Coturnix japonica: one gene and its partner. The protein of the gene in region 1 purifies or fractionates together with the protein of each later gene. This does not show direct contact. Links are inferred from orthologs where the notes say so. Each region holds a gene or a part of one and is shown on either strand. Other genes may lie near its edges. The genes, in order: EIF3M and EIF3B.

Region 1 (3,938 bases):
CAGAGATGAGGACAGATGCCCTACTCATAATTCCACTGTACAAAACCAAATAGAAGAAATTGAGAAATTCCTCAATTTGGAAAGACTTTGTTCATCAAGAAAAAGGAAACATGAAGACCAGCAGTAAGAAGCAGCAGTAGGAGGTGACAGTTAAACATGGTGGATAAACCACTTCTGTAAGACAAGCTGGTAGAGGTATTCCTATATAGTGTATATTCATGTACTTTCACGTTTTAACTTGTTATGAATTTGGCCTGAAGTTAAAAGTTCACAAGTGAAATGTTTTAATAAACCTGTAAGTAATATTAAATCACTCCCCAGAACTTCTAATTGAAATAGTTCAGTTTGGGTTGACAGACTGCTCTGTTTTTGAACACTGCTGTAACTGTTTCAAAGTATAATTGTTCTTTAGACTCACGCCACTTAGGGTTGCTGTAGTAGATTATGTCTAAATACTGCCTCTTTCCTCACTAAAACAAGGGGTATGACTCACTTACCAAGTTTCATTCCTGGTTCACATTTCTCCTCCTTCAGGATAATAGTAACCTCTCACTTCAGTTACTTACACTGTTACTTTCCTCATCTACCTCCCTTCCACCCCACACCTCTTGTCAAAGAGCAATCTTCATATGAGAAAACTTAATAAACAACAACAAAAGAAACAAGGTATTGCTACTGTTACTTATTTCTAATTATATAAGAAAATCAACGAGAGATTTTCCCACATTTTATTGCTTTTCTGTTGCAATTTAGAATGCTGTCTCCTTTAAACCAATTGTACACATTTTGGAAACATTCACAAATGGTCAAAGGTTTTGAATATAATGTATCTATAGCGGGACATTTCCAGGTTATACTTTCTTTAGGTGTCTGAGAGACTGAGGAGACTGTTTTTGACTTGATTCAAATTTTGTTTCCAGGTGTTTAGAGTATCGTACAATTGCTGCCACTGCTGCTTTCCGAAAGTCCGATGTGTGCTGTGACTAGAGAAGTAAAACAAAATCAGATGATTACTAGATGTAATACTCACCTAACTATTCTTTTACAGCATCACTTCAATCTCACACACGAGCAGGGAAGTTTTTATTTTCTGTAAAATGCTGCACTTCACCAGTTACAGAAGTCTGCAGCCTTCCCAAATATTTAAAGCAACAATAGTCATTAGTATTCTTGTCACTATTAGGTCATTAAATGAAATGTGCTGGAAAATAGGACTCTTTCATTACATAAGCTAATCACATTCAGTCTGAGCTTTAATAAAATTATGATAAATAGCAACTACTTAACTACCACCAAGTGATAGGAACAATACCTCGACTCTAGTTAAAATATTCTACACCTGTAAGTGAAATAATTAGAACACACTAAGTCCTACAAAATGCTATGAAGAATTAAGTCTTACCTGACAACTACTTTCCTCTGTGTCTGATCTATTTTGCAGTACACCATCTTTGTCTTTACGGCTGCAAAAAAGAAATGCTGTTTTAAGCCCTATTTTCAAGACAAGGTGATGTTACATTGCTTAAGCCTCCTAAAATGTTTTTGCTGAGAGTTTTAACCATCTAATAGGCAGAAATCCAAAATGATGTTGTAAGATGGACGTATCTTCTTCTTATTGATGCCAAACTAAATTATTAAAGAAACGTGTAATAATAATAATAAATACCCCTACAAATTAATAGCTTTAATGGCAGGAAACAAAACCAGGTGACAAATTAAACCTGCAGATGATTTATTATGCAGAATTACTTGAAATATATTTCCCATGTCTGAGAAAGCAATTCTTTCAATGTCAGCTGTACATTCAAGCACAGAAGTTTTACAGATACATCTATACTGGAATAGAATAAAACATTTCAATATTTAATATTAACTCAGAAGATTATATAAGGTATAGTTAATTAGCATTGTATAAAGTACTTTGTTACAGTTCTTACCATCAATAACAAATGCTTCTACATCATCAGCTCCAATCTGAAGTTCCTGTTGCATTGTGTCAAATGATATTTCTTTATTCTCTACAGCCATACCCATAAAAGTAAGTAGCCTCATTTTTGCCATATTCTGTTCATGCAACAAGCCTGTGTGAAAAGTATTGACAGTTTATGGATATTAATTCAATAATATCTAATTTGCTTTTCATGGTTTTTACTATATATCCTTGCAGTAATTTAGAATTTCACATAATGAAAACACCCTATCTGGCTTTATCAATGTTTTTTGAGGTAATATTTATTTCTGCATCCTCCTCGTGTTCTGCTAAAAACACCTGGTTTAGTTATTAATTCATCATGAAAATGAACATCCAAAAAGAGGAGAGTGGAGATTTTTTGAACCACTAAGGACATCATCTTTACAGAACTCGGGTGGTAAGAGCACAAGTGATGTTTTTAGTTGGATCAACAGGAAACAGAGCCATGCAATGCAAGAAAAATAACTGGTGATGTCAAAGCCTTCCTCCAGCCTCACTGCTCATTCTCAGGTAGGTGCTTAAAAAAACTGTAATGGTTCTGCAGCAAGTGTTCTTCAAGTACATGTAAAGAGATGCTAAGATGTGTCAGATCTTTTGCAGGGTAGCATGAATGGCAACACAAAGAACTGAACTTTGAGCTTGGCACATGGAAATCTGAGTTCTCACTCCTGTAAAAGTGCAGGCGAACAGAGCTGCACCTGGATAAGCCAAAGCCTTTCTTTATCAAGTTCTCCAGGGCACCAACTAAGCTTCACTGGAAGTTCCTTTAAGATGAATGGCAATCATTTGGTTTCGGAATGACATTATAAGCATCCACATGGCTTCAGTAAATATTTAAGTTTGGAATTTATAACATCCATACTCCAATAGGAAAGCACATTAGCAGAGGACATCATGTTGTGTTAATTAGCTGTAATTATGATGCAGGCTCCCTATTTGGCACCAATTCAACAAAAATGTGATCACTATAACTCATATGGATGAGAAGCATCAGAAAATATACCTAACCAAGTTTAATGGAAATCTACAAGCATCAAAAAATCAATTAGCGTACATTAACCCTAATTAACAAATGCAAATGAGATGCTGATTAACTTTCTGAAAAAGGCTGCTGATGATACCAGATTAAATGTGGCCATGTTAGGGCGATTCAGTTGACACAGATAATGCTACTGCTGGCCCAAGTTGTCAGCATTAATAAAACAACAAATTGTAACAAACTGATGCCACCTGTAGGAGCCTTCATTGCACATCTTTCTTGGACTAATTGTAATTGGTTCTGATCCAAGTAAAGCTAATAGTATTTTAGATCTGTTGCAAAATCAACAACATCCTTTTTTATTTTGAAGCTCAATACTTGAGAAAATGTTGAGGAAGAGAATGATTAAAAACACTTGTTTTGGGGAAGAGATCCAGGTGTTTCAGAGAATTGTTGAATGCCTCCTCTAACAATCATACTGTTTTCTATACTGATCTGCCTTTTTTCTTTTTTAAGGCATAGGTGAAAGACGTAGAACAAGTTCCAAGCATTCCAGTTTGAACTACTTCAGAATCTCTACCTCCTTCATAGCTGAAAGACAATCAAAACTCTCTGAGTGTGCCATAAAGGTGAGAAATCAAGGTAAGGGGAAGGTTGTTTTACAAAACAGCTATACATATACTTAAGGATTTTACTAGTATAACCTGAATACCAGACTTATTGAAAAGATGTAGACCTTGTATTCATGGAATTAAACACAGACACAGGAAGGCAAAGAAAAATAAATCGTGATTATTGTATGACGTACAGATATAACTGTGTTTTCATCAAATACTTCCATGGGTAAGTACTGAACAGATAAACCATTTCAACACATAAAAGTAATTTCTATATATATATATGTATATATATAAAAAAACAACCCCTCTCCTCTTAGAAAGTATGAAACATCCTTATAGTTAATGTTCAGATAAAAAGACAAAAGAT
Region 2 (3,824 bases), on another chromosome or scaffold:
TGGTTTAACATCACTCAAATCTTCACTGAGCAAGTGGGTTTGTGAAATATGAGCTTACTAACCACATGTGGAGTCCTTTCCCTTTAGTTATTGAGCATGAAGTTCAATGGCTTTATATCTATATTTTTTTGTTTTTATTAATTCCAGCGGTGGACAGAAACCTACGTACGTTGGTCCCCAAAGGGTACCTATCTGGCTACATTCCACCAGAGGGGCATCGCACTTTGGGGTGGAGAGAAGTTCAAGCAGATTCAAAGGTTTAGTCACCAGGGAGTGCAGCTTATTGACTTCTCACCCTGTGAAAGGTATGGAGTATGATGTTGGTTTGGGGTAAAAATGTGAAGCGTGTGTGTTCTGCCTGCTGTGTTTACAAATCTTATGTAACTCAGGTCTTTAGTTCTTCTCTGTCTTTGTTTTTCATACTTAGATCCTTTTCAGAATAAGGGAAACTCTGTCAAACTTTGCTTTGACTTCAGGGAATATACTTAATGTAATCTGGAGTTCCTGTTCAACGAAGCCTGCCAGTTCAATTTTGTAGTAGTCGTTATTATCTGAGGGAATGGTACTTTTTTTTCTCCTTGATCAGATGGGATGTCTGTAGTATTAGACTTCTGTCTCTGTGGAAAAATTTAGCTGAGGAGCATCTTCTACATCTGTAATATTGGAATTAATACTTGAGTTCTTTAGGGAATCATTCCTAAGTCATTCTAGGACTGAGATGCATCTTACTAGTTTTCGAGTAAGATACTTGGAAGCAGTGACATTTTGTTCTTCATACTTGAAAGAGATTATTTATCTTTAAATGGGGATGTCTGGCATACTTGTAGTTCAGGTTGGCACAGGTTATGAGTTTGTATTTGATTTGAAGTCAGTGATGTTCTGGTCACAAAACTACATAGTAGGTAACAACGTGACTGGGGAATTTTCCCTTGTAAGATCAGTACAAGAAAACTCTTGTAAATCTAGAGGCTTTTCAGTGGAAGGGATGTTAGGAACTACTGTGCCTTGGAAGCTTTTTCCTCACCTCTAGAACATCCTGTTGGAGGAAGTGCTGTTTAAAAGTGCATCGTATTTGAATAGTATTTAGATGAAAGCCTGCTTGTACTCATGTACTGAATCAAATTTTAGTAGTAAAATTGATTATTTCCTTTATAGATATTTGGTGACCTTCAGCCCTTTGATGGACACGCAGGATGACCCACAGGCTATTATCATCTGGGATATTTTGACTGGGCAAAAGAAACGAGGATTCCACTGTGAAAACTCAGCTCACTGGCCTATTTTTAAGTAGGTTGCAAAGCAGCATTAGAGAGCGAGCAGCCCAAGACTTTGTTTAATGAACAGGCAACTCTTTAGCTTATCCTCTTTTTTTTCTTAGATGGAGTCATGATGGTAAATTCTTTGCTCGAATGACTTCAGATACCCTCAGCATTTATGAAACACCTGTAAGTTGTTGTTTTGTTTCTGTGCAGTGTTTATTGCTGAACAATGTCTGCATTTATGTTTTCTAAGGAATGTTTTAATAATGCACTCTAGAGCTTAAAATGGAAGAAATCCATTTGTTCTTTATTTATTTATTATTCCTAGATCAAAAACTAGCTGAGCCTGACAGCAGCGTTCTTACTGTGCTTCTAGAAAGCCTGGAGATCTCAATATAGCAGTTAACAGTATCATTGTTATGTGATACCATTCAGGTATTAGTGATGGATGTGTGCCAGAATACCCGAAGGACATAATAAACCATAGCAGAGTCTGTTTTATGTTTTTATTATAGTATAAGCTGCTATTCATTAAAACAATCATTGCACAGAATTAGTCTTATTGGTTGTTGTGTTATATGTAATTGTTATTATAAGGGATAAAGGATCTCTCAACACTGTCCACAGTTTCCTGGTTTATTCTCTTACACATAAGCCTTCTGCTCTTATTGTATGTGCAAGAATGTTACTTGAAAGTTGATAACTTTCTCTTCTTTTAGTCCATGGGATTGTTGGACAAAAAAAGCCTGAAAATCAATGGGATAAGGTGAGTATATCCCTTTCTACAAGTAACTGCTCTGTTTTGTCTTTATGTCCAGGTCTTCTAAATAGTGAAGTGAATCTTTATACTGACTAGAGCAAGTAGCCTCATGCTGAAGTGGGCAAATCAGACAAACTGGCCAAAAAAAAGAGCAAAAAGCTTTCCACTTCAGCTGTTAGCTGTGTACTTCAATCTGTACCCAGAAATCTTCTTTGTGGTAATATGTAGTCTGGTATCCAACTTGGCATCCTGGTTCTTCATCTACCAAACCAAACTGGAATGCAGTTTGTGTAATACCTTTTAAGACTGGTGTGCTGCATGCTGTCTGTTGGCAAGGAACTAGTTTGGTTTTGTGCATACCTGCACAGTAAATGCTAAGTCCTGTGAGTTTTTTGAGGTGCCTTTTGGAAGACAGTTATATAATTCAGCATGCTCAGGTGCAGGAGGATTGTCTTCTCTATAATTTCACAGAAGGAAATTATCTTTAGTGAATCTTACTGTTTTGGTAACAATGATGTAGCAGGTTTGAAGGGCAATTAAAAACATGTTATGTGTAAGGTTAGAAACTCTTCAGTTGCTGCTCTGTATACACCTTTTTACTGAGAGTTGATATTTGTCTGCAGTTCTCAGAACGCTGAAAGTAGTTTCTGCTTGTAGTATCTCTAACTAAAAATTAAAATAGATTTCATCTAACTTCATTCCTGTAGAGATTTCTCGTGGTCTCCGGGTGGTAACATAATTGCTTTCTGGGTGCCTGAGGACAAAGACATCCCAGCAAGAGTGACCTTAATGCAACTGCCTGCCAGACAAGAAATCCGTGTGCGGAATTTGTTCAACGTTGTAGATTGTAAACTACACTGGCAGAAGAATGGTGATTACCTGTGTGTGAAGGTAGACAGGACTCCCAAAGGCACACAGGTGTGTAGACTGTGATTGTGTTCATAAAACTTGGTTCCTTTCATGCTCATACTTCATAATTTTTTTTCCCCTTCAATATTGTCTTTCAACCCAGTCAGTGTAAATTGTACAATGGAAAAATGAAGGCAGCTTTGACTGCTGAGTTTGAGGCGTGTAGAGAGCCAAATGTGTGTCATGTTTGCATCCAGCATTTGCTTTCAATTTACTGATGTAGTGGAGTTAATTCATATATATTTTTTAAAATGAGTGCTAGGTCTCTTTCCCCGCTCTCTGTAAAATCAGTTGTTGGAACCATAGGCTGTGCTGCAGAATGTACCATATGTTCTATCTTCTTCAGCTAAATTTAAGTCTGAAAAAAAATACCATATCTAATCCTTCTGTTATTCTTTAACAGAACAAAAAGATTAATGGTGTGCTTGGTAATGAGCACTGTTTGTCTGTTTATTAAAGAAACAAATCTTGAGCCTTGACTGTCATCCTGAGTTCCCTTGGGCCAATTTCATAGCCATCCTTCTATGCCTGCTGATTTAAAAAACAACAAATTGTTTGGTCTGCTGCTTCTGTATTGATTAATGAGCTGATGTTGGCCTTTGCAGGGAGTAGTGACCAACTTTGAAATATTCCGAATGAGAGAGAAACAGGTGCCTGTGGATGTGGTGGAAATGAAAGGTAATTCCAACGTTCTGATATTTAACTGTTCAAGCTGGCCTTTGCTTTTGGTACATGTGGTACATCAACGTGTAACATTTGTTGATGATAATTAGGGCGCTTACTCTTGATGGGAACTATGATATTCATGTTGCAAGGCTTCTCATGTAACATGTGAGAAGTCAAAGCTTTCACTGCTATTCAGGCTTGTAGTGAACTTAATGTCAGAACTGAAAATA

The links.
Region 2: the proteins of EIF3M (region 1) and EIF3B purify together in Homo sapiens (affinity purification with mass spectrometry; 8 studies listed by BioGRID and IntAct, counting the BioPlex papers as one, with this or other methods). This does not show direct contact. The link is inferred for Coturnix japonica from reciprocal best matches to the Homo sapiens genes EIF3M and EIF3B.

The regions. Positions count from the first base shown.
Region 1 is NC_029520.1:4,350,738-4,354,675, forward strand, and holds the end of EIF3M (eukaryotic translation initiation factor 3 subunit M), read right to left. Parts: exon of another isoform or gene 2,082-3,938; coding exon 1,938-2,081; exon of another isoform or gene 1,464-1,937; coding exon 1,403-1,463; exon of another isoform or gene 984-1,402; coding exon 863-983; 3' UTR 715-862; downstream 1-714. Other genes in the region: CCDC73 (coiled-coil domain-containing protein 73), read left to right, coding at 1-127. UniProt on the Homo sapiens protein: Component of the eukaryotic translation initiation factor 3 (eIF-3) complex, which is required for several steps in the initiation of protein synthesis.
Region 2 is NC_029529.1:3,192,761-3,196,584, forward strand, and holds part of EIF3B (eukaryotic translation initiation factor 3 subunit B), read left to right. Parts: intron 1-147; coding exon 148-305; intron 306-1,155; coding exon 1,156-1,287; intron 1,288-1,378; coding exon 1,379-1,445; intron 1,446-1,978; coding exon 1,979-2,025; intron 2,026-2,726; coding exon 2,727-2,937; intron 2,938-3,533; coding exon 3,534-3,606; intron 3,607-3,824.